Oryctolagus cuniculus: one gene and its partners. The protein of the gene in region 1 purifies or fractionates together with the protein of each later gene. This does not show direct contact. Links are inferred from orthologs where the notes say so. Each region holds a gene or a part of one and is shown in the gene's direction. Other genes may lie near its edges.

Region 1 (4,201 bases):
GTGGTTTGTTGTACAGCAGACCCGGTGCCCTGTGGGCTCCCTGCAATGTCTCTGAAGTGAAGGCCTGGGTCACAGCTTCCGGTTGTGATAGTGACGCCTGGGTCATCTGAGCTCTTTACAGTGGGATCCTGGTCACCAGTGACTGCAGTGTGTTTATGCATGCATACTTGGGCGTATGACATCCACTGTGGTCATTTCAGCATACTGTATTTTAAAAATGAATGGAACTGTCCTTTGGGTTCATTGAGAGGAATGATTCTGGAGATGGAAAAGGGTGACAAGTGGCACTGTTCTCATGAATAACTCTCTCCCTCTGGACAGAGCACACAGGTCGTTCTTCAGGATTGGGATTTTAATTCTGTGTGCACAGTCTCAGAATATTGCCTTCTAGGGGTTCTGTGTGGACAAGGACTATTTGAATCATTGCTTTTTATTTTTTTTTTTTTTAAACTTATTTATTTGAAAGGCAGAGTGACGGGGGAGGGAAAGACAGGGACAGAAACAGAGAGAGAAAGATCTTCCATCTGCTGTTTGAATTCCCAGTCACAGCTGGGCTATGCTAGAGCCAGGAGCTTGGAACTCCATCCAGGTCTCCCATGTGAGTGACAGGAACCTGAGTACTTGAGCCATCATCTGCTGCCTCCCAGGCTCATTAACGGGAATTAGATTAGAAGTGGAGGTGGGACTGGCTCTCGGACACTCCTTCATGGGATGTGGGCATCCACAGGGGCACGTAGCCACTGCCGCACAGTGGGTCAAGTGCCCATCTTGCTATCCCTCAGCACCAATTGAAGTTACATTTCCTGGAGGGTGCGGCTGGATTTCTGTCCACGAGGCATGGCCTGCTTGGTGAGGAATGCGGCTCCCTTCCTGTGGGCTCCCCTCAAGGGCAGAAGCTGTGTGAGAAGTTGGGTTTGTCTGGCACCTGTGTCTGTTGAGCTGTAGAATCAGAACCATGCAGAAGACTTGCAGCCATGAAAGGCTCTATTTCTCCTCCACACCTTTAATGTCCTAGCGGCCCCCATCCTTAATGATCGGTTTTATTGGCAAGAGCTCTGCAGTTCAGCCGAGAAGCTGACTCATGGGAGTGCGTCTGTGGCAGGTAATTCATTCAGCAAATATTTACGGGCTCCTACTGTGCCCTGGGCCTGCCTCAGTCCTGGAGAAGCCCAGCAGAGGTGGCCGAACCTCCGTCAGCAGGGGCTTACTGGGGCCTCAAGCCCTAGCTGCAAACAGAGGTACAAGACAGTGCATACTGCTGCTTGTACCTGGGAGCGTGAGGCACCCGGAATGTCTTTTTTAATTGGCTGTTAATTGTAGCTAATAATTTTTATTGATTGTAAACTAATTTCCATAATTACCAGCATATTTATTCTGGCGGTTCTTTTATTGCAGTAGAAGATGGCTGTACCTCCCACGTATGCCGATCTTGGCAAATCTGCCAGGGATGTCTTCACCAAGGGCTACGGTGAGTGGAGCTGGGAGAGGGCCGTCTTCAGCTCACAGGCTGGGTAGGCATGTTTGCAGTTTTACCCATAACAGTTTGGGAGACCCCTGTCGGTCAGCTGTTGGGCGCTTTTTTTTTTTTTTTTTAAGAAGATTTATTTATTTGAAAGTCAGAGTTACACAGAGAAGGAGAGGCAGAGAGAGAGAGAGAGAGAGAGAGAGACAGAAGTCTTCCAACCACTGGTTCACTCCCTAGTTGGCTACAACAGCTGGAGCTGCACCAGCGGAAGCCATGAGCTTCCTCCATGTCTCCCATGGAGGTGCAGGACCCCAAGGATTTGGGTCACCTTCTGCTGTTTTCCCAGGCCATAGCAGAGAGCTGGATTGGAAGTGGAGCAGCCAGGACTTGAACCAGTGCCCATATGGGATGCTGGCATTGCAGGTGCCGGCCTCTTGGGCACTTCTGTGCCAGGGAGGGAGATGAGCTCTGCTGGTTGTGCCCCTGTCGGGGCAGGCCTATGGTTTGCTGCTGATGAGTGGACCCTAGTGTCTTCCCTTCCACAGGTGCAGCAGCTCTGTGGGTACAGATTCTAAATTTAGCCCACTGTGTGCGTGAAGCCGATGGGTGTGTCTCTGCTGGCTGTGGGACACCTTCCTCTCAGCCCCACGGGGAGTGCAGGTGACGCCCACGTGGGGCCCAGGTGGGGTCAGCACCCAGAGTGTTTCGAAAGGGCAGAAGGGCGGAGATGCTGTTTTTGGTTTCATTGTTTCACCTGTTAACTGCAGTCTTCTTTCTGTAGGATTTGGCTTAATAAAGCTTGATTTGAAAACAAAGTCCGAGAATGGATTGGTAAGTTGTCTCACTCCCACAGAACATGTGTGCTTATTGTTAACCACTTAACTGCCCAGGTGTGCCTGGCAAGGCCAGAACAATGTGCTGTCTGAGATTGGGGAGGTTTGTGGTCATCACAGTCATGGGGTCCACACTGGGGGTCCCCAACTCAGCAGCTGGTAGCACTCAGAACATCACAGCAGACCTCATGTAGTTCCAGTTTTCCTTGGATTTCTTGTTATAAAATTGACTTGTGCCTAACTACATAATTATTAAGAAAACTCACTGGTCCCCTTTATTTATTTGATTATTTATTGTTTAAAGATTTATTTGAAAGGCAGAGTGACAGTGAGAGATCTTCCATCTGCTGGTTCACTCCCCAGATGGCTACAGCAGCTAGGCTGAAGCCAGGAGCCAGGACTCCATCTGGATCTCACTTGAGTGACTGGGGCACGAACACTTGGGCCATCTTCTGCTGCTTTCTCAGACACGTTAACAGGGAGCTGAATCAGAAGCAGAGCATTGTATAGGTGTCCGTATTGGCTGCTGGCTTTGCAGGGGACAGTCAACCTGCTGTGCCACAGCGCCAGCCCATGGTTCCCCTTAGGTTGTGCATGGAGTCACTGTTGGAAGGAAGGAGTTTTGGGCTTGAATTACTGCTCTGTCAGCCTTAGCCCGGTGCTGCTTCTCTGTCCTCGGCTGGAGGCGGGATGGAATGGGAGTGCCGAGTTACAGGGGAGGGAGGCAGCTGTTGCCCCCCACTGCCGGTATCTCGTTGTCGCGTGAAGGCAGTTCCAGTGGTTAGGGATGGAGTGGGTCCTGGGGTGCAGGCTGTGACTCATATCTCTTGTTTGTAGGAATTTACAAGCTCAGGCTCAGCCAACACTGAGACCACCAAAGTGACGGGCAGTCTGGAAACCAAGTACAGGTGGACTGAGTACGGGCTGACGTTTACGGAGAAATGGAACACCGACAACACGCTGGGCACCGAGATCACCGTGGAAGACCAGGTACTGCAGCCTGTGCCGAGATGTGGGTTCGTGAACGCACACCTGCTGGCCTGCCTTGTCACTAAACTCGCTGCTGGTTTTCTTTTCTGTTCAGCTTGCACGTGGACTGAAGCTGACCTTCGATTCCTCCTTCTCGCCTAACACTGGGTAAGAGTCTCTTATCTCCACAAGGACCTTCTGTGATGTTGCAGGCACTGGAAGCTGTTTGTGACAAAGGGTTTTGGGGATGGGCCTAACATCCTCTGTGACCTGTGAGTTTGAGTTCTGTGGTTTCGATATAGTCCCGGGACATACTCATGGCCATTCATGAATGGACTGTGCTCTGATGAGCACTGCTTGGTTCGGGAATGATGTTTCCTGGACAGACATGTTTTCCAGTTCCTCCTGCACTTGTTCCAGGCCCCTCTAGGGATCTGAGGGTATCCAGGCCTTGGGTGTTAAGCCACACCCCACCTTCCTGACCCACAGGGTCTTCCTTTCTTTGGCTCATCAGCCAGCAATATTTCGTAATCAAGATTCTGCCCTGTTTGTGTTTTCCTGGCCTCGGCCGTGGGGGCTGTAGGATTTCTGCTTGAGTAATGCTGTATTTTATGTGCTGAGGCTGCTGCTAATGTGAGTGGTTGAAGCTGAGGGATAACAGGTGATGTTTGGAAGCCAGGCTAACTGGTTCCTGTTCCCAGCCCCCTCTGTCAGGCTGGCTTCTTGCTCAGGGACCCTGAGACGGGGAAGGTCTGACCTGCACTTTTCTGCCCCAGGCCCTTGGCCACCAGCAGAGCAGGCTTGTTTGTTGTTACTGGGGCCTCAGTTCCTAGGTGCTTGTCTACGTGGCAGAAGGAGCCGTTCTTGTCCCCTGTACAAGCTTGCTTTTTCCTGCTCCAAGTGGTCGTCTACTGACCCTGGGGAAAATTATCCA
Region 2 (4,025 bases), on another chromosome or scaffold:
CAAATAAATAAAATACAACTGAAACAGCAGAAAGCGAGCGCTTTCCGGGTGTACCTGCTGGCGGGGATGGGGGAACCCGTTCTCTTAGCCGAGGAAGAATCCTGAAGGCAGAGGCGTGGCCGGCCAGGCAGCAGCAGAAGGGGCAGGCAGCCCAGGGGAGGAACGGGTGGACCCGCGCCCGCCACCCACCCAGGGAAGCCAATGCCGTGCGGCTACACAGGGACCGCAGCTCATCTGCACCCAGACTGCGGACTGTGCGGCGCTCCTCCCTCCTCAGCCACAGGTGAGGGGTGCAGGAGTGACGAAGGAGGCATCCGCCCCAGGTGAGGGGTCCAAGAGTGATGGAGGAGGCACCCGCCCCAGGGGAGGGGTGCAGGAGTGATGGAGGGGGCATCCGCCCCAGGGGAGGGGTGCAGGAGTGATGGAGGAGGCATCCGCCCCAGGGGAGGGGTGCAGGAGTGACAGAGGGGGCACCCGCCCCAGGGGAGGGGTGCAGGAGTGATGGAGGAGGCATCCGCCCCAGGGGAGGGGTGCAGGAGTGACAGAGGGGGCACCCGCCCCAGGGGAGGGGTGTAGGAGTGACAGAGGGGGCATCCGCCCCAGGGGAGGGGTGCAGGAGTGACGGAGGGGGCACCCGCCCCAGGTTCCCCGGCTCAGCGCTGTCCCGCGGGGAGCCCACGCAACCCCGGGCACAGGACGGCCTCCTGTCCAGTACTGGGCCTGGGCGGGATCCCGCGGGGTAAAACTCGGGGCGCTTCCCCGACTCCTGGCCCTCCCCAGGCCGCGCTCGCACGCATGCGCCGACGCCTAACTTCCACCCCGACTCCACGGCACCTGGGCGCGCGCGCGGCCTGCGGCCCTCGTCTGGGTCGTGGGGGGTCCCAGCGCCGTCCCCAGCAGGGGTGCGGCAGGAACGTGCGCGTCTGAGCGCGCACCCTAGCCCCCGAGCCCTGCCCGGGGTCCCCGCTACGCCGCGCCGCCCCCGGGGTCCCGTGGCCCGCCCGGAGTCACGTGGCCCGCCCCGGCCTCCGCAGCCTCCGCCCGCCTGTCCGGCGCCCGCGTACGTGCGTGTGTGCGCGTGCGCGGAGCGCCCGTAGCCCCCACCACCACCACCGTGCGCGCCCCGCCCCCGGGGCACCGCCCTGCGTGCGCGCGCCCGGCACGCGCGCCCGGCCGGTCTTATAGGGGCCGTAGCCGGCAGCGGGCACGGCGCTCGGTGGACGGCGGACGGCGGGGACATGGCGGCTGTGCTGTTCGCGCTGCTGGCGCTCGCGCTGCTGCGCGCCGGGGGCGCCTCTGCGGCAGGTGGGCGCCGCTCGGGGGCTGCGGGCGGGGGCTACGAGCCGGGGCGGGGGGGCTACGAGCCGCCGCCGCCCCGGGGGTCCCGGCCCGGGCCCTCGTCGGGAGGGCGGCCACCCTGCAGAGCAGGGCCCCGGGTCTCGGGGGCCGCCGTCCCCCTCCACGGTGCACGCGGCCGGGGCTGACCCCCGCGTGGGACGCCGCTCGTGGCCCTCGGCTGCAGTCCGCGGCCGCTGCCCGGGCAGGCTGGGCCCCGGGATTATCATTCCTGCGGGGATTTGGCCGGCGGCGCGCCCGCGTTTGCGGGGTCTGCGCGGGCGTGCGGGCCCCCTCCTCCTCTGCCTGTTGGGGGTGGGTCTCCAAGGTCACCGCGAGGTCGCCCAGGCCGCTGGGGGGAGCCCCGCGTGGAGCCCCAGGGCCCGGCCGGGAGCTCCCGGGCCGCTGCTGACCCACTTCGGCGGCTTCCTCTTCCCGGTCCCCGGCCTCGACCGAGCGCGGGGGGCGCGAGGGAGCCCCAGGCGGCGCCGGGTTTCCTGCGGGGCCCCCGCGGAGCGCGCTCTGGCCCTGCCGGGCTTAGTCGACCGTACCCCGGGGCCGGGGGCCGTGCGGGATCTCAGCCCTGCGCGGAGCGGCGGTGTGCGTGGGCGCACGGTGCGTGGTGGGGTGTTGCTTCCGACTTGGCTCCCGGGCGCCTTATATGGGTGTTCGGGTCTTGCCCGTGCACGCTTCTGCTCTCTGTGCGGGGCCTGGCCGCGCTGGGTTGGCCACCTCCTGTCCCCCCGGGTCGGGGCCTGGCCAGCTCTGTTCTCCAGGCGCACAGCCGCGGGCCCCCGCGGGGGTTAGCCCAGGAGGGCCGCACTCTGGCCCGCCCCGAGCAAACGCTTAACCTCTGGCCTCCGGGGGAGGCTTGGCTGAGGGTGGGGCGGCAGAGGCGAGGCCCCCAGCGGGTGGGGCCCTTCCCTCCCGAGCGGCCCCGCCTTAGGCTGGGCTTGTTTACCGAGGCCGCGCCTGGCCCCCTGCCCGCCTGGCCGCTCTCTAGTGAAGGTGACTTGAACCTGAGTTGCAGATCACGTGGGCCGAGTGGAGCTGTGGCTTTTCTGAGACTGACCCTGGGGCTGGATGTGGCGTGGACTGGGGCGGCCAGGGGCCTCACCCCAGGGAGCTGGGCCACCAGTGTCCCCCTGACGTCCAGCTGCTCTTGTCGGAGGCTGCGTCTGTCCCTTGGGGAGCGCCAGGTGGTGCAGACCTGTGGAGGGGCGGCCGGTTCCCCACCTTGGACACCGGGGCTGGGACAGCTGCGGCCAGGCTAGTACGGCCTCTCCCGGTACCTGCAGGCGGCCGGGGTGTTCGGGGGGCACCTCGGCTTCACTTCCTGCCTGACTCAGCTCTGCCAGGGCTGTGGGATTTGCAGCTAGGGGTCCTTCTGCTGGAGGCCACCTGGGCTGGTCCAGCGGCCTCCAGGCGGGCCAGGGAGGCAGGTGCCTCGTCCCCAGGGCACCTGGGGCCGGAGCGTCAGGACCCAGGGGAGGGTGGACGGGAGCCCCTGCCCGCCCCTGTCCGCCTAGGCAGTGTCCAGGACCCTCTGTTGTGTTCAAATAAGGAAGCCGATGATGGCCCGGGTGTCCGTGCCAAGAGGGCCCTGCGCCCCTCACTGTCCCCACAGCTGCCTTGTTCGCAGAGCCCAGCGCCCGTCCCGTGACCTTAGGGGCTCAGCCCTAGCTGGACATGCGTGTGCTCCCCCTGCCCTGCCTTCCGTGGGGGCAGCCCGCTCCTGTTCTGCCGTGGGGGCCTCACGCTCTCGCCCTCTCCCCGTAGCTGGCTTTGTGCGGCCCCCACTGTCGCAGGAGGGGCGGGCGGGGGGCAGCGTGGAGCTGCACTGTGAGGCCGTGGGCCGCCCGGTCCCCGAGATCCAGTGGTGGTTTGAAGGGGACGGCCCCGGCGACGGCAGCTCCCAGCTCTGGGACGGCGCCCGGCAGGGCCGCGTGCACATCCACGCTGCCTACCGCGAGCACGCGGCCAGCACCGTGTCCATCGCCCAGCTCAGCGCCGAGGACGCGGGCACCTACGAGTGCCGGGCCAGCAACGACCCCGACCGCAACCACCTGACCCGGCCGCCCAGGGTCAAGTGGGTCCGTGCCCAGGCCAGCCTGGCGGTCCTGGAACGTGAGTGGCAGAGACCTGCCTCAGTGTCCCTCTTGTGCCATCGGCTCCCACCCAGTAGAGCCCAGGCCCTCTCCTGCCCGGTTCTGTCCCTCCCACCCACCTGAGCAGTCTCTGGCCTGGATGCGGGTGGGCCCCTCGCCCCCGTCCTGTCCGCCCATGCGTCCATCGCTCCGACCCGCTCCATCCGTGCTCCCTCCCTCCGTGGGCGCCTGTCTGGCTCTTGTCCTGGTCGGTGGGGCTGGGTCTGCTCCCTGGGTCAGCCCAGGTTCAAGGCTCTCCGGACCTCCCATGGGAACGTGCTCAGCTGACCGTGAGGCCGCTGTGTCGAGCCTGGGGTAGAGCGGGGCGGGGCGGGAGGTGTGGGCGTGCTGCAGGGCTGCTCCTAGCCTAGCCTAGCCGGGAGCTGATGCCTGGGCCACACCCCCGTGCACAAGGGCCCTCCGGAGGGCACCCTCTGAGCCAGGCCTCGGCGTGGCGGAGGGCCGACCCCTCCTCTCCTGCCCCTTGCTGACCTCTCGCCGTGGTCTCCCAGCGGGCACCGTGACGACTTCTGTGCAGAGCGG
Region 3 (3,500 bases), on another chromosome or scaffold:
AGGGCTTGGGCGCTCGCATGCTCCTATCTTGTTTTCCCGAGCCTTTCTGAGAGAGGTTGTTTTTCCTGCTTCCCGGTAGGTGAGAACCAGTTAAGTGGGAGCAGCAGGTTCTGCAGTTGGCTTCAGTGAAGCCGTGCTCATCCCCCGACCTCCTGGTCGCAGATCTCCCCTTTGTTTTTCCTCCTGTGTTGTGCTGAGTCGGCAGTTCCAATTTTGAACTTTTCCCAGCTAGCTCACTGCACTGTGTCAGAACCTTGGCGGTCCCATCAGTGACTTGAAGCTTGGGTACAGAACCTTTCAGTCAGATATGTGCTGGGGGATTTTGATAGCGAGCTTGCTACAAACACTATAAAAGTGAGTCGTCTAGGGGGTGGCGTTTATTTTTAGATGGTCACTAAGAAGAGTCTGAGGAATGGTGAGGATGCCAAGCTAGTAAGCAGCCATTGTTCAGGAGGCGGTGGGGCGGAGTGCCGGCTTGGGTACCCTGGGCTCCGAGGGGAGGCTTCGGCACCCCTAGAACCGTGCGCTGGGAGCTGCTCCGCCCACCGTTCCTGGTGAGCTCTCGGCACGGCACGTGCGTCATCTCACGGAGGGGCTTGGGAGGTGCATGCCCAGAGACTCGGGTCAGCTGCTTGGCTGTTTCCATACTTGTAAAATGGGGCTGGTAATACCGGGAGAGGGGTGTCATGGAAGAAGCAGGTTGACGGAGGGACAGCATTGGGTTCCGCACCTGGCACATGGTCATGTCTGGGTCTGTTACGGTTCTGTTAACTCTGCTGAGGGCTGAGCTGGAGGCAGAGGGGGAGCTGAGAGAATTCTCTCCTTTCTGACTGGCCTCCCCACCTTCATTTCTGCTCTCCCCACACTCCCTGGCCAGCTCCAGTATTAAAAAGAACACAATCACAAAATATATATGTAAGCACTTTTAGGCAAAAATATATTTTTATTTATTATTTGGTACTTGGGTAGTACAGAAAGAATCATATTTCCCCCTCTTTGCAGGAGCCAAATCTGTTGCTGTCGTGAGCCTGGGTTTTAGGGTCTGTTAGGAAACAGCAGGGTTTCAGCAGAGAGGGATTTTTCCCACAGACACTTTGCAGTTGACAGGTGAACCGGGGGTTGGCTAACATTGGCGTGGGTACCAACCCTTTCCTGCTCACCAGTGTTTTAATTGCTACCCAAAGAATAAGGTCCTATACTTAAAACTTGGCTGCTGGCCCAATGGGAGGTTGGATTCCTACGGAACTTTTTTCTCTTCTCATGTCTGTAGAGGGTTTTTCCCAACCTCCCTGACAAAAATCAATGCACAGGAAATGCAAAGCTCTTCATTTACAAAACTGAAATCAATCTCAATCGGTTAATAGGCTTTTGTTGTTGATTAAAAATGCAATTTGGCACGAATCCCCTGATCTGAAACCTGGGGGCAGGGGGGTGGGTATACGCGGCTGGATTCAAATTTGTCTGCGGATGAATTCAGGAAGAGTTTTGATGTGGGTGTCAGCATCACAGGCCGGGTGTTGCCCAGCACTCTGGGTTGGGAAATTGTTCTCCCCCGAGTCGGGTGTCCTAGCTGTCCAGCGAGGGCACCACTGGCGTGTGCTGGTGCACACTGTCTAATTTACGTCCCCTCTGCTTCTCAGGGCTTGACAACTGCTCGAGCTGCTGAGATCCTGGCCCGAGACGGCCCCAACGCCCTCACTCCCCCTCCCACCACTCCTGAATGGGTGAAGTTCTGTCGGCAGCTGTTCGGGGGCTTCTCCATGCTGCTGTGGATCGGAGCGATTCTCTGCTTCCTGGCTTACGGCATCCTAGCTGCTACAGAAGAGGATTTTGACAATGATAATGTGAGTTCCTCAGTTCCACGCGGGGCTTAGTCAGCACCCCTAGGGCATCCTCTTGGCCGTTTGCTGTCCACTTAACTTTCCTTCACCACTAGCTACTTCGGGGTTTTTAACACTGGCAAGCACTGTGCAGCAGGTGGCTTCCAGGCCCAGCCCTCCTTCTGCACTGCAGGTCTGTCTGCCCTGCACACACCGTGGGTGCACCTGCAGGCCAGACGTGCCCAGGTGGCTTTGCCCAGCCCCTGGCCCAGGGCTGGCTGCCCCACCAGGGAGGGCAGAACACAGCATGCAATGTCAGACCTGATGGGCTTGGTAGCCTTTCTTCAGACAGTTGCAAATTGTTTGGAAAATGTCTTTTTAATTGAGTAGGGGAAGTGGATTCATCTAGTGCAGGGGCTGGGGACATACAGCCCACAGGCCATCTGAAGACCGGGCAGTCAGTTGTCTGGCCTTGCCAAGGCAGCTGTAGGTGGGACTTGAAACTCGATAAGTCCATAGTTTTTAAGTTGACCATTTTGTGTGGCCAGAGAGCAATATTATAAATACCTACATAGCCCTAAAAAAAAAGAAAAAGTCTTACCAAGTTTAGTGGCCAAATGTCTGGGGGATTGAGTCCATTTCTGACCCCCCCGCACACACACACACACACACACAACAAGGGCCCTAGAAAGATCCCCGTGAAGATGGCTTCTGATGACTTCATCGCTCCTTAAAAGTCTGCTTTGATTCAGTCAAAAATTCACTGGATGTTCCCAGTTCTTCCCGAGCCGGCCAGCCTGAACTTTGCGTCTTCTCTCGCAGCTGTACCTTGGCGTGGTGCTGGCCGCGGTCGTGATCATCACTGGCTGCTTCTCCTACTATCAGGAAGCGAAAAGCTCAAAGATCATGGAGTCCTTCAAAAACATGGTCCCTCAGGTACCTGGAGTTTGTCCTGCCCCCACGGGGTGGCCCCAGGGGTCAGCCAGTGTGCCGTGCCGTTAGCACACTGAGAGCTTGAGCCACCTCCTGGAACGTGTGTGGATCAAGTTTGTAATTCAGATGATTGGTGTTACAGATCATTTGTCACTGGATGGCTTTCTTGTTAGGGCACCATCCTCTCCTTGTTGATGTCTTTTTTTTTTTTTTCTGATCTAACATTGTAAACATTATTTTATTTGCCTTCCAAAGCAAGCCCTGGTGATTCGAAATGGTGAGAAGATGAGCATAAATGCGGAGGATGTGGTGGTCGGGGACCTGGTGGAAGTGAAGGGGGGAGACCGCATCCCTGCTGACCTCAGAATCATATCGGCGAACGGCTGCAAGGTAGCCCTGGGATGGGTGCGGTAGAGGCACGCAGCAGCCTGTGGTGAGGCCGCGGGATTCGCACAGCACCTGTTTTTCTCTCCTCTAGGTGGATAACTCCTCACTCACTGGTGAATCAGAACCCCAGACCAGGTCTCCGGATTTTACAAATGAAAACCCGCTGGAGACGAGGAACATCGCCTTCTTTTCCACCAACTGCGTTGAAGGTACTGTGTGTCCGGTGTGGCCTGGTGGTCACCCTGGGCATCAGTAGCATCTTGAAACCTCCTCTGGCTCCTTTCCTGACAGCCCCAGCAAGTGCAGGGCAGAGGGGGTTCACCTGCGGCAGGGAGACCTGGGAAGCCTCGTGGCTGCTTT
Region 4 (3,500 bases), on another chromosome or scaffold:
ACTTGCCTACTTGCCTACCTACATTTTTTGTTTGCATTCTTTAGAGGTCTGATATCAATATAAGTGGGAATCTCTATGCTTCTGGCCTCTTACAAGTAATTTAAATGTAGTAGAGATTTATTTTACTCAGTATTTGAGATAAACTTGGCTAATAATTGACCCTTAGGAACCTTTGTTATACAGAGATTTAAATGTTTATGCTTTTCAGCTTTGGTTGTACAATGAATAAGTACAGACACTTCTGACTGTACTCATGTGTCACCTAAATTTAAATGCGTATTTTGAAAATAGGCAAATCTTATGTCAACTAAGTGTTGTTGCTATTTGTAAAGTACATTTTACAAATTCTTGCTTTTTGTGTGTGTGTGTGTTTGTTAAGCTCTGTATGAAAAAGCTGATATTAAGGCACCTGAAGACAAGAAGAAACACCTCCTTATTGGTGTGTCCTCAGATCGAGGGCTTTGTGGTGCTATTCATTCCTCTGTCGCCAAACAGATGAAAAGTGAGGTGGCTGCACTCACAGCAGCTGGAAAAGAAGTTATGCTGGTTGGAGTTGGTGACAAAATCAGGGGCATACTTCATAGGTAATTTCATTTTATGTTCAAAGGGGTACAAGTATGAACAAATGGAAGGTTCTTTAATAGTTTGTTTAAGCAAAGTGTCCTTTTTGGTTACCATGTTTTGTATACTCCCAGAGTTTTTTGTTTTGTTTTTATTTTTTACTGTATGTGTATACTGTATGTTACTTCTCTGATAAAAACCGTAAGTTGAATATGATGGGACTAGCAAAAGCTATTGGCACTAAGCCAAAAAGGGAATATGAGAAGCTATCACAGCCTGGAGATGTTAGAAATAATCAGTAGTTCATCAGAATTGGAAGAAGAGAAATATGAGGGGTGTCCTAAAAGTTCATGGAAAATGTATAATATGGTCAAACTATAGGTTTCAAGAATTTCTGCACCCAAACAAGCTCATATTTTTATTTATTTATTTGTAAGTATCAGGGAGACAGAAAAAGTATGCCCATCTACTTGTTTACTACCCAGATGCCCACAGCCACTAAGGGTAGGCTGGGACTGAGACCAGCAGGTGGGAATAATGCAGCCCAGGTCTCCCATGTGTGTGGCAGGAACCCAATTACTTGAGTATCATCACTGCTTCTCAGGGTTCTACATTGGCAGGAAGCTATAATCAGGAACCAGAGACAAGAATCAAAGCCAGGTACTCACATGTAAGAAATGGGAGTCTTTAATTCAAGACTGAACATCTGCTCCCAAATTTATCTTTTTTTTTTTTTTTCAAGACATATTTATTTATTTATTTGAAAGTCAGAACTAGAAAGAGAGGGAAAGAGAGGTCTTCCATCTGCTGATTTACTCCCCAAATGGCTGCAACAGCTTGGGCCAAAAGCCAGGAGCAATTACAGGTGCCAAAGGAAGGGAACAATCCTGATAATGTGTGGAACAATTTAGGGAGTCAGCACCACTACCCACATCTCTGCCCCCCAAGAAAACTTGATGCATGAAAATGTTTTTAACTTGTTCTCTGAGTTTTTTTTAAATGATTTTAAGTGATCTCTGGATTTTCCTACAGGACTCATTCTGACCAGTTTCTAGTGACATTCAAAGAAGTTGGAAGAAAGCCCCCTACTTTTGGAGATGCGTCAGTCATTGCTCTTGAATTATTAAACTCTGGATATGAGTTTGATGAAGGGTCTATCATCTTTAATCGATTTAAGTAAGAAAAACACAGAAATCAGAGATGTTTTTGTCCATATTTTAAAATAACTAAATGTCTGCTTAAAAGTTATTTTGAGATTTACTTATGCTTTTGTCATTTCTAGGTCTGTAATCTCCTATAAGACAGAAGAAAAGCCAATTTTTTCCCTTAATACCATTGCAAGTGCTGGTAAGTATTTTTTATATGACAAGTATTTTTGCATGTAGAATTGAGAGGGAAATATTTATCTATTGGGGTCCTCATTAGATGGGTTTTCTGTCTTCAAAGATTAAATTGACTTATCTATGTGTGGGACTCAAGTATAATACAACCAAAATCGTGTACATATTTGAACAGTCTTGACAACTAACGTAATGTTAACCCATTGATTTTATCTTTTGAGTAAAGTCATCACTGTCCAGTGAAGCACCCTAGAAATTCTAGAACCAATTTTGTTTTTCTAAGGCAAAACCCTTACATTTTAGAATTTTTGAAGTTGGGATGCCTTGCTCAGCCAATGAAACATTTTTAATTAGCTATTTTTTCTTAATACCTAAAATAAAAGATATGATAGTACTATCTGAAATTTTATAAAATACAATACTATAGCATTACTTTATCCTAATGAATGGATTTAGAAATGTACTCCTAAATAAAACTAAAATTCATAACAGCTTATAGTTCTCACAAACTTTCATATGCTTAGAAAAATGTCTTCCTTTCTCACTTTCCAGAGTGACACATTCATGTTTCTCTAATAATCAAATGACTAAATCAGAATTATTTAATTCCACTATTCTGCTTTCAATCATTCCATTAATTTTTTTGAACATTTATTGAGCGCTTGCTAGCCTTGTGATGGGGACTGCTAGATGCTCTGCACTGGATTTCATAACTGTGAAATTCATTGTTATTTTCAATGTCAGGGTCTTATTTTTAAGTTAAGCCTCTGAGCTCATATATCAAATGCTTTGTACATTATATTTTGCTGAAAATATGCTATTTATATCATGTAAATAGATTCTTTTTCGGTTATTATAAAGGGTTGGGCACTAGCAAGCTGTTTTGATAAAAATCAGTTTTTGTTCTGTATGGCTTCAAAGAAATTTATCACTTGTTTTAACAGAGAGCATGAGCATCTATGATGATGTTGATGCTGATGTGCTACAAAATTACCAAGAATACAATCTGGCCAACATCATCTACTACTCTCTGAAGGAGTCTACCACCAGTGAGCAGAGTGCAAGAATGACAGCCATGGACAACGCCAGCAAGAATGCTTGTAAGCACGTGATCCAGGCAGGACTAGCAAGAGTGCTTTTGTGTGCACAGTGCATCCTCTGCTGAACTGTCTGTTACCCAGAGTAACACTAAAAATGTTAACATAATATTTTTTTTTTTTTTGAGGGGCCACCATTGTGGCATTGCAGGTAAAGCCTCCACCTACAGCACCAGCATCCCATATGAATCCTATTTTGAGTCCCAGATGCTCCAGTTTCCATCCAGCTCCCTGTTAATGTGCCTGGGAAAGCAGTGGAGGACAACCCAAGTGCTTGAGTCCCTAAACCTACATGGAAGAGACCCTGAAGAAGCTCCTGGCTTCAGCTTGGCCCAGCCACAGCTGTTGCCTGGGGAGTGAATCAGCAGATAGAAGTGTCTCTTTCTCTGTTTTTCCCTCTCTCTAACTATGCCTTTCAAATAAATAAAAAAGGCCAACTTTGGTACCCAAAAAGAAAAAGAAATAGGATCTCTTATTGAAGATTTATTTTGTTTATATTTGA
Region 5 (3,500 bases), about 64 Mb from region 1:
CACAAGTGGATATAAAGATGACTTTCACATTCTGTGGCCTTTTGACAAGCATTATATATCAAATACAGAGAAAATTGATTGTATGGAAAAAAATTATATAAATTAAATTCAGAACCATTTTCTGTTTTTCATAATAAAATGATTGCTCAAAGAATTCCATCTGATGACTGTTGAAAGCTTGCTGCAGTTTATGATATAACTGATAAAATCTGCATCCTTGGCCTTCCAACAACCTTTACACCAGCAGATGGTGGGCGTAAAGATGTCATTCATCATTTATTTACAATGGGCTTTATTTATTCTAGTGTCAACAGCTGCCCCAGGGAGTGGGTTATTGAATTCAAATGTAAGGCTCTGGGTTATTTGCTTCCTTTCAAATTTGTCTTCAGAGCTTAGTTGCTAGGAGTCCATTCTGTGCTCTAATAATGATTCATGTATTGTGAAGCCATTCAGTAAATTGGGTTGTCAGGGATTGCCAAAAAGGGTTAGGGGTCTTGGTTGGCAAGGGGTGGGGTGGGGGAGTGTTGCAGGAGTGAGCAGCAGCATGTGCTTCTGGTTGACTTGAGCAATAGTGGTATTATGTGACTGCTGAACTTAAGTTTTCCCCTGTCCCTTTATGGACTCCTTCCCTACCTCCCATATTCTATAGATGAAAAATCTGAAAATATAGAGGACAGTGTGTGAAAGGAAGCTCTCAACTTGTTTTTTTTGTTTTTTTGTTTTGTTTTTTTTTTTTTTTTCTTCACAGGCAGGTCAAGAGTCCTTTCGTTCCATCACAAGGTCATATTACAGAGGTGCAGCAGGGGCTTTACTAGTGTATGATATTACAAGGTGAGAGCTTGAAAATTTTTCTAAATAAATATGGTTACCAGTAATAAAAGTGTAGCTCTGTCTTTATATTGCCTTGGCTACTTGTTTTTAAAACTCTGTATCCTGAATCAAATTTAAATTTACTATAGAAATCTGCAATTCTTTTTTTGGATTTCAATAAGCAACCTCCATATTGATCAATTTGGTAACATTTATGGATTGGAAATTTTTAAAGTATGGCTCCATTGAACTGAATGTAATCAGTAGAACTCTAAACCCAGGTAGTGTGCTTGAAATGTGCTTTTCATTATATAAGTGGATAAAGCAAAAAATGATTACTTGAATGGAATGTATCCTATTAACTGTGTACTACTGGAAGTATTTCCAAAAAAGTAATTGTTAATCTTTTGTTTAGGAGAGATACATTCAACCACTTGACAACATGGTTAGAAGATGCCCGCCAGCATTCCAATTCCAACATGGTCATTATGCTTATTGGAAATAAAAGGTAAAAAGGCTAAATTAGACCTTGTTGTATTAATGATAAAGACTTGATTGCTTCTATTTATGTGACTACCTTTCTTGTACATTTCTCCACATGTATTCTTAAATTATAAAATTTTGAAAAATGTTAGATATTTCTTTTGGTTTTTATAATATAAATAATAAGCTTTGTTGAAAACTATTATTCGTCACAGTTTTATTTGAAGGTACCATGGAAAACATAATTGCTTGGCCAAAGTTTCTGTGAACTTTCAAAACTATCGAAAATTTTTCACTAACTTTAGTAGAAAATTATAGTGGTTGCAGAAATTAGTATTTCCTAAATGTCAGTCAGAGAATTCATTCACTTCTAGAATAGATACTATTTAAAGATAAGTTTTAGAAAAATAAAATCATGACTCATATAATGATGAGCATATCAGAACTTTTGTTTATCTCATTAATTAATGAAAAACCAGTATATACTATCTACAATTAGTTCAAAAGAGAACTCAAACTGCCACACATTCATAATCAAATAGCAAATGCTGAAGTTAATTTAGAGGTGGATGTAAGACTGGTCAATATTCATAGGGTATATTCATACTGTATTCTGTGAGTCACAGTCCGCATTTCTTAGATAGGAATTATTTACATTATTATCTGTTTTCCACAAGTTAGAATCTATCTCTACATCTTTGAAAGTGTTAGGGATATAGTTAAGTAGTGCTTAGAGAGACATTAGAATACTAAATACTTCAATTTTCAAACCAACAACCTAAGCTTTTACTTTAAGAAAGATAACAGCAAATTAAACCCAACATAAGCAAAAAGAAGACATAATAAAGAAAAAGCAGTGAAACTGAAAAACTAGTTCTTGGTGCCAGCGCTGTGGCGCAGCAGGTTAACGCCCTGGCCTGAAGTGCCGGCATCCCATATGGGCTCCAGTTCTAGTCCCAGCTGCTCCACTTCTGATCCAGCTCTTGGCTATGGCCTGGGATAGCAGTAGAAGGTGTCCCAAGTCCTTGGGCCCCTGCACCCACGAGGGAGACCCAGAAGAAGCTCCTGGCTCCTGGCTTTGGATCGGCACAGTTCCAGCCTTTGTGGCCAATTGGGGAGTGAACCATCAGATGGAAGACCTCTCTCTCTCTTTCTGCCTCTCCTCTCTCTGTGTAACTCTTGACTCTCAAGTGAAAAATAAATCTTTAAAAAAATAAACAAACAAAAACTAGTTCTTGAGAAGAAAAATAGATACCCATGAAGAAAAAAGACACACATGGAACCAGCACTGTGGAGTATCAGGTAAAGCCGCCGCCTGCAGTGTCAGCATCCCATATGGGTGCTGGTTCAAGTCTCAGCTACTCCACTTCCAATCTAGCTCTCTGCTATGGCCTGGGAAAGCAGTAGAAGATGGCCCAAGTCCTTGACCCCCTGCACCCATGTGGGAGACCGGGAAGAAGCTCCTGGCTCCTGGCTCCTGGCTTTGGATTGGCGCATTTCCAGCCGTTGCGGCCAACTGGGGAGGGAACCAGTGGATGGAAGACCTCTCTCTCCCCGCCTCTCCTTCTCTCTCTGTGTATCTTGGGCTTTCAAATAAATAAATTAAAAAAAAAAAAAAGACACACATGACCAGTATTAGAAATGAGAAGTGACCTAAAGAATCTTCAGGTATGAAAAGGATAAGAGAGTATTGTGAACTAAGTAAATAGAGACATATGCCATGTTCCTAGATCAGAAAATTAAAATCATTAAGATGTCATTTCTTCCCAAATTTCTCTAAAAGTTCAATGTAATCCCAATCAAAATACCACAGACTTTGGTGGAGAGTAGATAAACTGATTTTAAGATTTATACCGAGGCCGGCGCTGTGGCTCACTAGGCTAATCCTCCGCCTTGCAGCGCCGGCACACCGGGTTCTAGTCCTGGTCGGGGCGCCTGATTCTGTCCCGGTTGCCCCTCTTCCAGGCCAGCTCTCTGCTGTGGCCAGGGAAGTGCAGTGGAGGATAGCCAAAGTACTTGGGTCCTGCACCCCATGGGAGACCAGGAGAAGCACCTGGCTCCTGCCATCGGATCAGCGCGGTGCGCTGGCCGCAGTGCGCCGGCCGCGTCAGCCATTGGAGGGTGAACCAACGGCAAAGCAAGACCTTTCTCTTTGTCTCTCTCACTGTCCACTCTGCCTGTCAAAAAAAAAAAAAAAAAAAAAAATT
Region 6 (3,967 bases), on another chromosome or scaffold:
GTGCCCGTAGGGGAATGCCAGCACTGCAGGTGGCGGCTTTAACCCACTGCCCTACGGCGCCGGCCCAATAGCTAAACCTTTAACAAAGGAAGAAAAAGAAAGAAATTGGGTTGGCACCGGATTCTTCACGAGCGTCTCTTGGCCTACTGCAGGCCAGCCAGAGGCAGTTTCGAGCGCGGACATTTCTGACAGAAGGCAAGAAAGACATAAATTTATCTATGCCTTGTAACCTCTACCTCACTGGCACTTGTGAAACCTTAAACGCGTCCCTGTCACCCCAGGGAAATCTTGTAAAAACAGATTCGGATCCAATATGGGGCCTGGAGTCTGCATTTCTAACGAACTCCCCAAGGATACCCATGCTGACAAATTTGGGTTCCCAGCCCGGTGACGGAGGATGGGAGGACCCTGCACGTCCCCGAAGGGCAGGGACCGGGCCTCGACCTTGAGCACAGGGCCTGGCAGCAAGAACCTCCTTGGCTAAACTCACACCCACGGAAGGGCGAGCTCCCCTCGGTCGTCCCAGCATGCCTGTCTCAGCACGCGGCTTTCTGCTCGCGCCTGACACACACGCCTACTATTCAAAGAAAACACTTTTCTTTCCTTCACACGAACACTACATAGCTCTTATTTTCTATATAACCCCAGCCTTCCATGTAAATCCCACGGCCGCACAGCCCTTTGGGGTGCGGACTCACCGACGGGTGTCCCTGGCCCGTTCTGGGGGGTACAGCCGGGCCAGGCCTCTGCTCTCACGGATTTGCTGATCTCGTGAGGCCTTCACCAAGCGAGAAGCAATCACGCCCGGCTGTAACGCCCAGGATCCCTAGAGAAAGAAGCGCTACGGAGGAACTCCTCAAACACCTATTTCCAGGAAACCGGAAGTCCGGGTGCCCTGAGCGTAGACTTCCAGGCAAGCCGCTGTTTCATTGGACGATCCACATCGGACGAATCCAAAGTGCCAGGGGTGTGGTGATGATGGGCTATTGTAAACATTGTTAGCAAACAATTACAGAGTAGATATTCGAGTAGGTAAATGAATCAAACAAAAAAAACCTTAACCTAAATCATTTGTGTAGTTACCTTCGCAACTATGCATCTCTTTATCCTCCGTCCCGGAGGAACTGGACTGGCCCAACCTTCTCCGGGAGCAGTCGAGTGCAGTCTGTATAGAGAGTCCCCCTCGCCCAGCAAGGGGCGTGGGAACGTGTTCGCGGGGAAGGCTGGGATACTCCTGTCCTCCACCACCATCTTGCTTTCCTTTAAGCCGGCAGTGACCGCGGGTGAAAGCAATCTCGAGCCATGAAGCTATTAACCAGAGCCGGGTCCTTTTCGGTGAGCTCAGCCTGCCGGTTTGGAGAAGGGCTGGGGAGCGGTGTATCCACAGGTGGATCGGAAGCCGAGGTGCCTGCCCTTGGGCGCCTTGCCTTGGGATCCAATCTGCCCTTCATCTGAACCCTGCGAGCCCGCTAGCTTCAGGCCGGCTCGGGCGTTGGAGGCCCAGGTTGTTCTGTGAGCAGAAGAGACCTTACGCCAGAAAGCCAAAAGAGAGGGAGGAGGGGTCGAGGGCGGAGATGCAGCGACGCGGCGACGAGACGTCTGAAGGTCACTCCTGCACTTGGGTGCCCGAGGAGACTGCCAGACCCGGGGCCGGGGGAGGCGGAGAGGTCCTTGAGACCTGTCACCCACCCTTTATCTGCTGCGGCCTCTGCTCCTTGGCTTATAACTGTGCAGTGGGCTTACGCATAAACGTGTAATAGATGAGCTCATTGCAGGTGCAAGTGGAATATCTCATATCCGAAATGCTTGGGACCAGAGTTTTTCGAATTGGGGGAATATTTGCATAGACTTTACCGATCGAGCATTCTTCAGATTTCAGAGGGGGACGATTTTCGCTCTTGGTAACAAAAATGTCTGGAGACACTTTGGTGTTAACAGCCTGTGGAGAGGCTGCCTCTGGCATCTAAGAAGCCAAGGGGGGTGCTGCTGCACTTCCTGAGATGCACAGAAACAGCTCCTACAACAGGGTCATGCAGCCAGAATGCCAGGAGCACCTGGATTGAAAAGCCCGTTAGAAGATATAAAAGACCTAACGTGGCGATGGGTCCCCTGTGGGTTAAGCGGATGTACTGTGGATTGTACAATTTAGGCTGTAACTGTATCACCCTTCCTGGCGTGCCTAGACAAACCAATGATTGATAACGCTTTGAGGGCAGCCAGGTAAATTGCGGGTCGGGGGCAAAATCGCCTCCTTCCTTCCGTTTTCCACTAGAAAGAAAACCTCAAAGATTACAGTTAGAGAAGTCAAAGTAAACAAACTACAGTGAATGTGAAAGCCGTTCTTTATTTCTAATTATAGCAGTTAATTTTGTATCAGTAAGTTTATATGTATATAAACTTATATTTATATATGATATTTACATATTTTATTAAAACAGCAATTGCATGCCAGTTTCTAGGATAATTCGTTGCAGATTTGAAGGGGACAGATAGGTTCATAACCAGATCTAAGTTGGCAATGGAACTGCTCTCTCCATGTATCATAAAATTTACTTTTTGGAAAATCACAGGCCAGTCACAACTAGGCTTAACTCTACCATATCCAGCAAGAAAGTGGATGATGTCAAGGCAAAGCTAATTGTAATGTAGAATTCAGCAATACTGACAGCCAATAATAAACCAGCAGCCAGCTTAATACAGCACTGACGGCCAATGTGAACAGCACAGGGAGGCCTTGCAGCCTCTGCTGGGGGTCGGTTAGAAACTCCAGCACCCTTATGGTTGGATCTTGGGAGCACCAAGCTTTTTTGTATTTTGACTTTTTTGTTGTTCTAACATTGGTTTTCCTCCAATTGTGTGTGTGTTTTGCTATAATTATGAGAAGAAGATTTCCCAGGTTTTGAGCTTCAAAAAGCCAGGCCTTAACAATAGACTGCTATAAATCTCTTCCCGGTCTTGTATGTTCAGTTTCAGCTATTTCTACGCAGACAGTTACAAGCTTTTTATCTGCAGCTTACAGCTTTCAGGGTGTTTTACACCGCTGTGCTGTGGTCAAGGCCCCATTTGCAGGAATAAGTTGGTTTCTGAGGAATTCTTGTGCCAGGGGTAAAGGATCCATTGAGGCTTTGGATTGGTTTTTCTCCCTGTAACCTGAACCAGTGGTGCTGGAAATGGAAAATGGGCACCACCAGCCCCAAGGCCCACAGAAATCTTCACGGGTTGTGTTATCTTTTGAAAGAGCTCGGGGAAGGAGCTCTTGAAGCCCCTTCTCTGGTCTTGCCTGGGATTTTGATAGCTAAAAGGTGTTTTTTCATTTTCTGTTCTTTTAGCCAGAATCTGGTGGTGTCTTCTAAATGCACCTCTTTCATATAGGTCTGCTTTTCACTGTGGAATTAATGTTGGGGTGGGGGGGGGGGGGAGGTCCAGGGAGCGCCACAGGTGACAGCAGCTCCATGTTTATTTACCCAGCATCTCCACTAGTAACTCATGAACAGAAGTCGTAACCAGAGTGAGCTTTATGCCACTGCCTATCATTTGCCAACAAAAACTAAATGAAGTGAATGCATTTTAGATCAATTGTCTGACATTTAAGAAGATCCTTTCTCCCTGCCAGTAAATGCATGTTTATACCGAGACTCTGCAGTGGTGGAGTGACTGATTGCTAATCTCAGAATGGTATAAACATTTAGTCAAAGAAAGTTAAGACCCTTGGTTGTGAGTCTCAGCATAGTACATAACAGAATAAAGGTAGAATGGAAATATGAGGGGCTCACAAGAAGTTGGTATACTTTGTTGTTTTTTAAAGGTTGGTAAAATGATTACAGAAATGAACTCATTTCGATTGGAAAATAACACTAAAAAAGTGAGACGTGTTGAGTAATTAGGGGAAGCACTGATGCTAAAATCTAAAAAAGGGCATCAGTATGGCAACTCGGTGCTTTTTCAGAAAATTCTAAAGCACTAGAAC
Region 7 (3,500 bases), on another chromosome or scaffold:
GGATGTGGTTTCCAGAATTGTCCTTGGGTGTGTTGGCACAGCTCCAGCATGGAGGATGTAGAGGAGAACTGTTAGGACTGGCGTGCGGATGCATTTCCTGGGAAGGTAACCAGGGTGCTCTGGGGGACCCTAACAGCTGACAGCCACCAGCAGAAGACTGGGTCTGGGGCTGAGCAGGGGCCAGCAGTTTGAGCACACATTGCACAGGTCTATGCCCAGTTCCGTGCGTGTGTGCGGGACTCTCGGAAACCTTGGTTCTCAATAGCTGGGAGAAGCCGGGCTGACTGAGGAGAGCCGGGCCCCTGCTGCGCTGCCGCTGGCACTGCTGGCACCACTGCCACCACTGCCTTGTTTGTGTTAGCCATCTCCCTGGGCCGGCCTCCCTGGTAACCATTCACCACTGGCCCAGCCTGCTGGGGTAGGGATGTAACCCTGGGTCTTGCCCGCCCCATGGTGGCCCGTCCCTGCAGTGTCCACAGGCCCCATGTTTACCGCCAGGCGGCACACGTGCCCCCACCCCCATTTCCAGCCTCTTCCTCAGCATCCCACGAGCTCTGAGTGGGGGGTTGGGGCTTAGTCACACTTGCCTTTCTTTCTAAGCCTCTCCAGTGACTTCCGGCCATGCCGATGTGAGTCAGGCACACTGCTTCTCGCCGACTTCTGAGGTGCTTGGTAGCTCCCTCCACCTTCACAGCTCCAGCCCAGTGGGGGGCAGGCTGGTGGGCAGCCGGGGGCTGAGGCAGGGAAACCTGAGCCCTAGGCCACGAGGTCCTGGTCGCTAATTTTAGAGAGCACATGTCACTGGAAACTCTCCTCTCCTGCCAGGAATCAGCAGCCTGGTTCTCCCAGTGCCGCCAGGGGCCCCTGGGAGCCTTTCCCCACACCAGGAACCGCAGGGGCGGCTCCTGCCTTGCGGGCTGCCCTGGCCTGAGTGTGCATTCCTGAAAGGGCTCTGCCAGGGCCCTGGAGAAGCCTGGCGGGGGCCAGGAAGGTGGCTTACCTGCTCAGCCGCCCCGTGCTGCTCACTGGGAGCAGGCTGCAGGTGGAGGTGAGCAGAGCCTGCCAAGGCCTGGCGAGGGCCAGGAGAAAAAAGGTTGGGAGCAGCCGCCAAGGCTGCTGGTCTCTTGAGCCAGAACTCTGTGCTTGAAGTGCCCTGGGAAAGCAGATTTTTCTTTTTTACCTTGGGCCGTTGCACATACTCTGCCTTCCCTCTGTTGTGGGATCGGGCCCCTTCTCAAGGTATGTGGGGGGTAGGCAGCCACACTCCAACTCCTAGCCCCCATCTTCAGTGTTTGAGACCTTTCTTGATGACTGCCGAGGCATGCGTCCCTCCTCTCTTCTGCCAGCTGACATCCCATCCCACAGGTGGACTTGAGGGAAGTGCTTGGGGCCCAGCTTCTGCCACCTGTTTGCCACTGGGCTGCCTCCAACAGGCAGTGGGCACCTGTGTCCTGATTCTTCGCCTGCCCCGCTAGCCCAAGCAGACCTCAATTTGGGCACTCTTATGTAACAGATGTGTCCTGGCAGCTGCCTGTGTGACGGGTTTGAGAAGGGGGTTGGGGAGAAGTGAAACCTTTCGGTTTTGTCGGGACCTGGGGGCTGTGACCTGCTAGTTTGTAAGGAAGCATGGTGGCTCGGAGCTCAGGCTTTGGATCACAGAGACACAAGTTGGAAGTCCAGCTTTGTCCATGTCTGGCTTCTCACCCTGGACAAATTGTTTCACATTGCTCAGCCTCAGTTTCCTCTTTTGTAAGATGGGGCCTGCGATAGTAAGTGCCTTGTAAGATAGGATTTGGCCTGGCATGTGAGGGGTACCCAAATTTATTAGCTGCTCTCGGTATTTGACAGATGCTAGCCTGGCCTCACAGTGAGGAAAAGGGTGCTGAGGCTTCCATAGTACTGAACTGGAGAGTGCTGGAGTCCTGGGATCTCCTGCTGTAGCTAGGCCCTGCCCTGGGTGTCCCTTGGCTCCTGCTTCCAACCCCCCCTCCACCCCTTAGCCGCCTCACAGAGCCAAGGGTGGCTGTTTTGGAGCAGTGGCAGCAGACAGCTCCCAGGCCCCACCCTTCCCCTTCGTGTTGCCAGAGCCAGGTTGGCGGCTTCTCGCTCGGCTGCTGGCAATTCAAGAGGGCAGGTCCAGGCTGGAGGCAGGCTGGGGTAGGGAGCATCCAAGAGAAGTGCCTGCCAGCTATTTTGCTCTTTCTTTTTCTCACTTCTCCCTTTTTTTTGTAAATAATTGCAGCCTGCTTAGACGCCTGGTGACTCTCATCTCCCAGCAGGCCACTCTGCTGGCCTCCAATGAAGCCTTTAAAAAGCAGGCAGAGAGCGCCAGTGAGGCGGCCAAGAAGTACATGGAAGAGAACGACCAGCTAAAGAAGGTGAGCCCTGCCTTCCTGCCCGCTGTGGGGTGCCCGGGCAGCCATGTTATTTTGGGGCCGCAGTGGCCCTTGTCGGCCTGGGAAACCGGGGAGCAGCTGGAGAGGTGGGTGGAGGCGTAGAGTGGAGGTTCTCGGTGGGGACAGTGTGCCCACTGGAGGTGCGTGTGAAGAAGGATCCGGGGTTACTCTCACACCCTCCTCTAGCTCACCAAGGCCTGCTGGAGAGGGTGCAGGAGCCACTCCCCTCAGGCCCTCGTTCTTTGGAAGGTTGCTGCGCTCTCGGGTATCCCTCAGTGCTGGGAAGGAGGCAGGGACAGGCTGCTGGCCTATCGTAGAACCAAGCTTGGAAGGAGGGGCACAGGTTTGCTTTCATGGGTTGGGTGGAAGCAGATGAGCAAGGGTGAACGTAGGGCCCCTGGCTGCAGGGAGCTGCCCGGGCCTGGGAGAGGAAGGAGGGAAGCAGTGAGTCGCTAGTGAATGACTTGCAGAAATCTCCCAGGACGGCACGTGGAGGATTGGTACAGCGGTGCACTCCACAGGGCTGCTGGCCCTGCTGGTGAGGAAGAAGGCAGGCACGCGGCCAGCTCAGGCAGGGCGTATGGCCTGTGAGCAGCAGCAGGTGGCCCCACTGGCTTTTCCTTTCCCTCGGCGGGCAACTACACCCTGGCCTTTGCCTGGTAGCTGAGAGCAAGCCATGGCCCAGGTCTGCGTTGACATTTCTGAAGGGACAAGTGCCCAGGGCAGCTGGAGGAACTGGGGCTCGGGGGGTGGGGCAGGCTGGAGCCTCTCCCTCCCCAGTAACCCAGCCCTTGGCGTTTTTCCCAGGGAGCTGCTGTTGACAGACGCAAGTTGGACGTTGGGGACACTGAGGTGAAGCTGGAGGAAGAGAACAGGAGCCTAAAGGCTAACCTGAAGAAGCTGAAGGACGACCTGGCCAGTGCCAAGCAGAGTGAGGCTTGTTCTCGTGTGTCCGCCATCCCCAGAAGACTACAGCCTTCGTGCCCAGTGTCTTAACACCCGCACAAGCTGAGAGCTGGCTGCAAACACCCAGATGGTACCCCGCACCTCCAAGACCAGCACAGCCTAGCTCAGGCCCCGGCCAGGAGGGCCTGAGTGGTTTGA

The links.
Region 2: the proteins of VDAC1 (region 1) and BSG purify together in Homo sapiens (affinity purification with mass spectrometry; 3 studies listed by BioGRID, with this or other methods). This does not show direct contact. The link is inferred for Oryctolagus cuniculus from reciprocal best matches to the Homo sapiens genes VDAC1 and BSG.
Region 3: the proteins of VDAC1 (region 1) and ATP1A1 fractionate together in Homo sapiens (co-fractionation; 3 studies listed by BioGRID, with this or other methods). This does not show direct contact. The link is inferred for Oryctolagus cuniculus from reciprocal best matches to the Homo sapiens genes VDAC1 and ATP1A1.
Region 4: the proteins of VDAC1 (region 1) and ATP5F1C fractionate together in Homo sapiens (co-fractionation; 3 studies listed by BioGRID, with this or other methods). This does not show direct contact. The link is inferred for Oryctolagus cuniculus from reciprocal best matches to the Homo sapiens genes VDAC1 and ATP5F1C.
Region 5: the proteins of VDAC1 (region 1) and RAB2A purify together in Homo sapiens (affinity purification with mass spectrometry; 3 studies listed by BioGRID and IntAct, with this or other methods). This does not show direct contact. The link is inferred for Oryctolagus cuniculus from reciprocal best matches to the Homo sapiens genes VDAC1 and RAB2A.
Region 6: the proteins of VDAC1 (region 1) and UQCRC2 fractionate together in Homo sapiens (co-fractionation; 3 studies listed by BioGRID, with this or other methods). This does not show direct contact. The link is inferred for Oryctolagus cuniculus from reciprocal best matches to the Homo sapiens genes VDAC1 and UQCRC2.
Region 7: the proteins of VDAC1 (region 1) and BCAP31 purify together in Homo sapiens (affinity purification with western blotting; 3 studies listed by BioGRID, with this or other methods). This does not show direct contact. The link is inferred for Oryctolagus cuniculus from reciprocal best matches to the Homo sapiens genes VDAC1 and BCAP31.

Annotation. Positions count from the first base shown.
Region 1 is NC_091437.1:22,341,559-22,345,759, reverse strand, and holds the start of VDAC1 (non-selective voltage-gated ion channel VDAC1), read left to right. Parts: upstream 1-1,401; coding exon 1,402-1,468; intron 1,469-2,246; coding exon 2,247-2,296; intron 2,297-3,135; coding exon 3,136-3,288; intron 3,289-3,382; coding exon 3,383-3,435; intron 3,436-4,201. UniProt on the Homo sapiens protein: Non-selective voltage-gated ion channel that mediates the transport of anions and cations through the mitochondrion outer membrane and plasma membrane.
Region 2 is NC_091447.1:58,340,801-58,344,825, forward strand, and holds the start of BSG (basigin precursor), read left to right. Parts: upstream 1-1,225; 5' UTR 1,226-1,238; coding exon 1,239-1,305; intron 1,306-3,114; coding exon of another isoform or gene 3,115-3,462; intron 3,463-3,994; coding exon 3,995-4,025.
Region 3 is NC_091438.1:54,059,565-54,063,064, reverse strand, and holds part of ATP1A1 (sodium/potassium-transporting ATPase subunit alpha-1), read left to right. Parts: intron 1-1,640; coding exon 1,641-1,844; intron 1,845-2,642; coding exon 2,643-2,756; intron 2,757-3,008; coding exon 3,009-3,143; intron 3,144-3,231; coding exon 3,232-3,349; intron 3,350-3,500. UniProt on the Homo sapiens protein: This is the catalytic component of the active enzyme, which catalyzes the hydrolysis of ATP coupled with the exchange of sodium and potassium ions across the plasma membrane.
Region 4 is NC_091444.1:75,491,032-75,494,531, reverse strand, and holds part of ATP5F1C (ATP synthase subunit gamma, mitochondrial), read left to right. Parts: intron 1-379; coding exon 380-584; intron 585-1,593; coding exon 1,594-1,737; intron 1,738-1,843; coding exon 1,844-1,908; intron 1,909-2,845; coding exon 2,846-3,001; intron 3,002-3,500.
Region 5 is NC_091437.1:85,951,610-85,955,109, forward strand, and holds part of RAB2A (ras-related protein Rab-2A), read left to right. Parts: intron 1-748; coding exon 749-831; intron 832-1,225; coding exon 1,226-1,318; intron 1,319-3,500.
Region 6 is NC_091450.1:17,381,507-17,385,473, reverse strand, and holds the start of UQCRC2 (cytochrome b-c1 complex subunit 2, mitochondrial), read left to right. Parts: upstream 1-1,167; 5' UTR 1,168-1,302; coding exon 1,303-1,335; intron 1,336-3,967. UniProt on the Homo sapiens protein: Component of the ubiquinol-cytochrome c oxidoreductase, a multisubunit transmembrane complex that is part of the mitochondrial electron transport chain which drives oxidative phosphorylation.
Region 7 is NC_091453.1:132,057,056-132,060,555, reverse strand, and holds part of BCAP31 (B-cell receptor-associated protein 31), read left to right. Parts: intron 1-587; exon of another isoform or gene 588-772; intron 773-2,242; coding exon 2,243-2,378; intron 2,379-3,203; coding exon 3,204-3,327; intron 3,328-3,500. UniProt on the Homo sapiens protein: Functions as a chaperone protein. Is one of the most abundant endoplasmic reticulum (ER) proteins.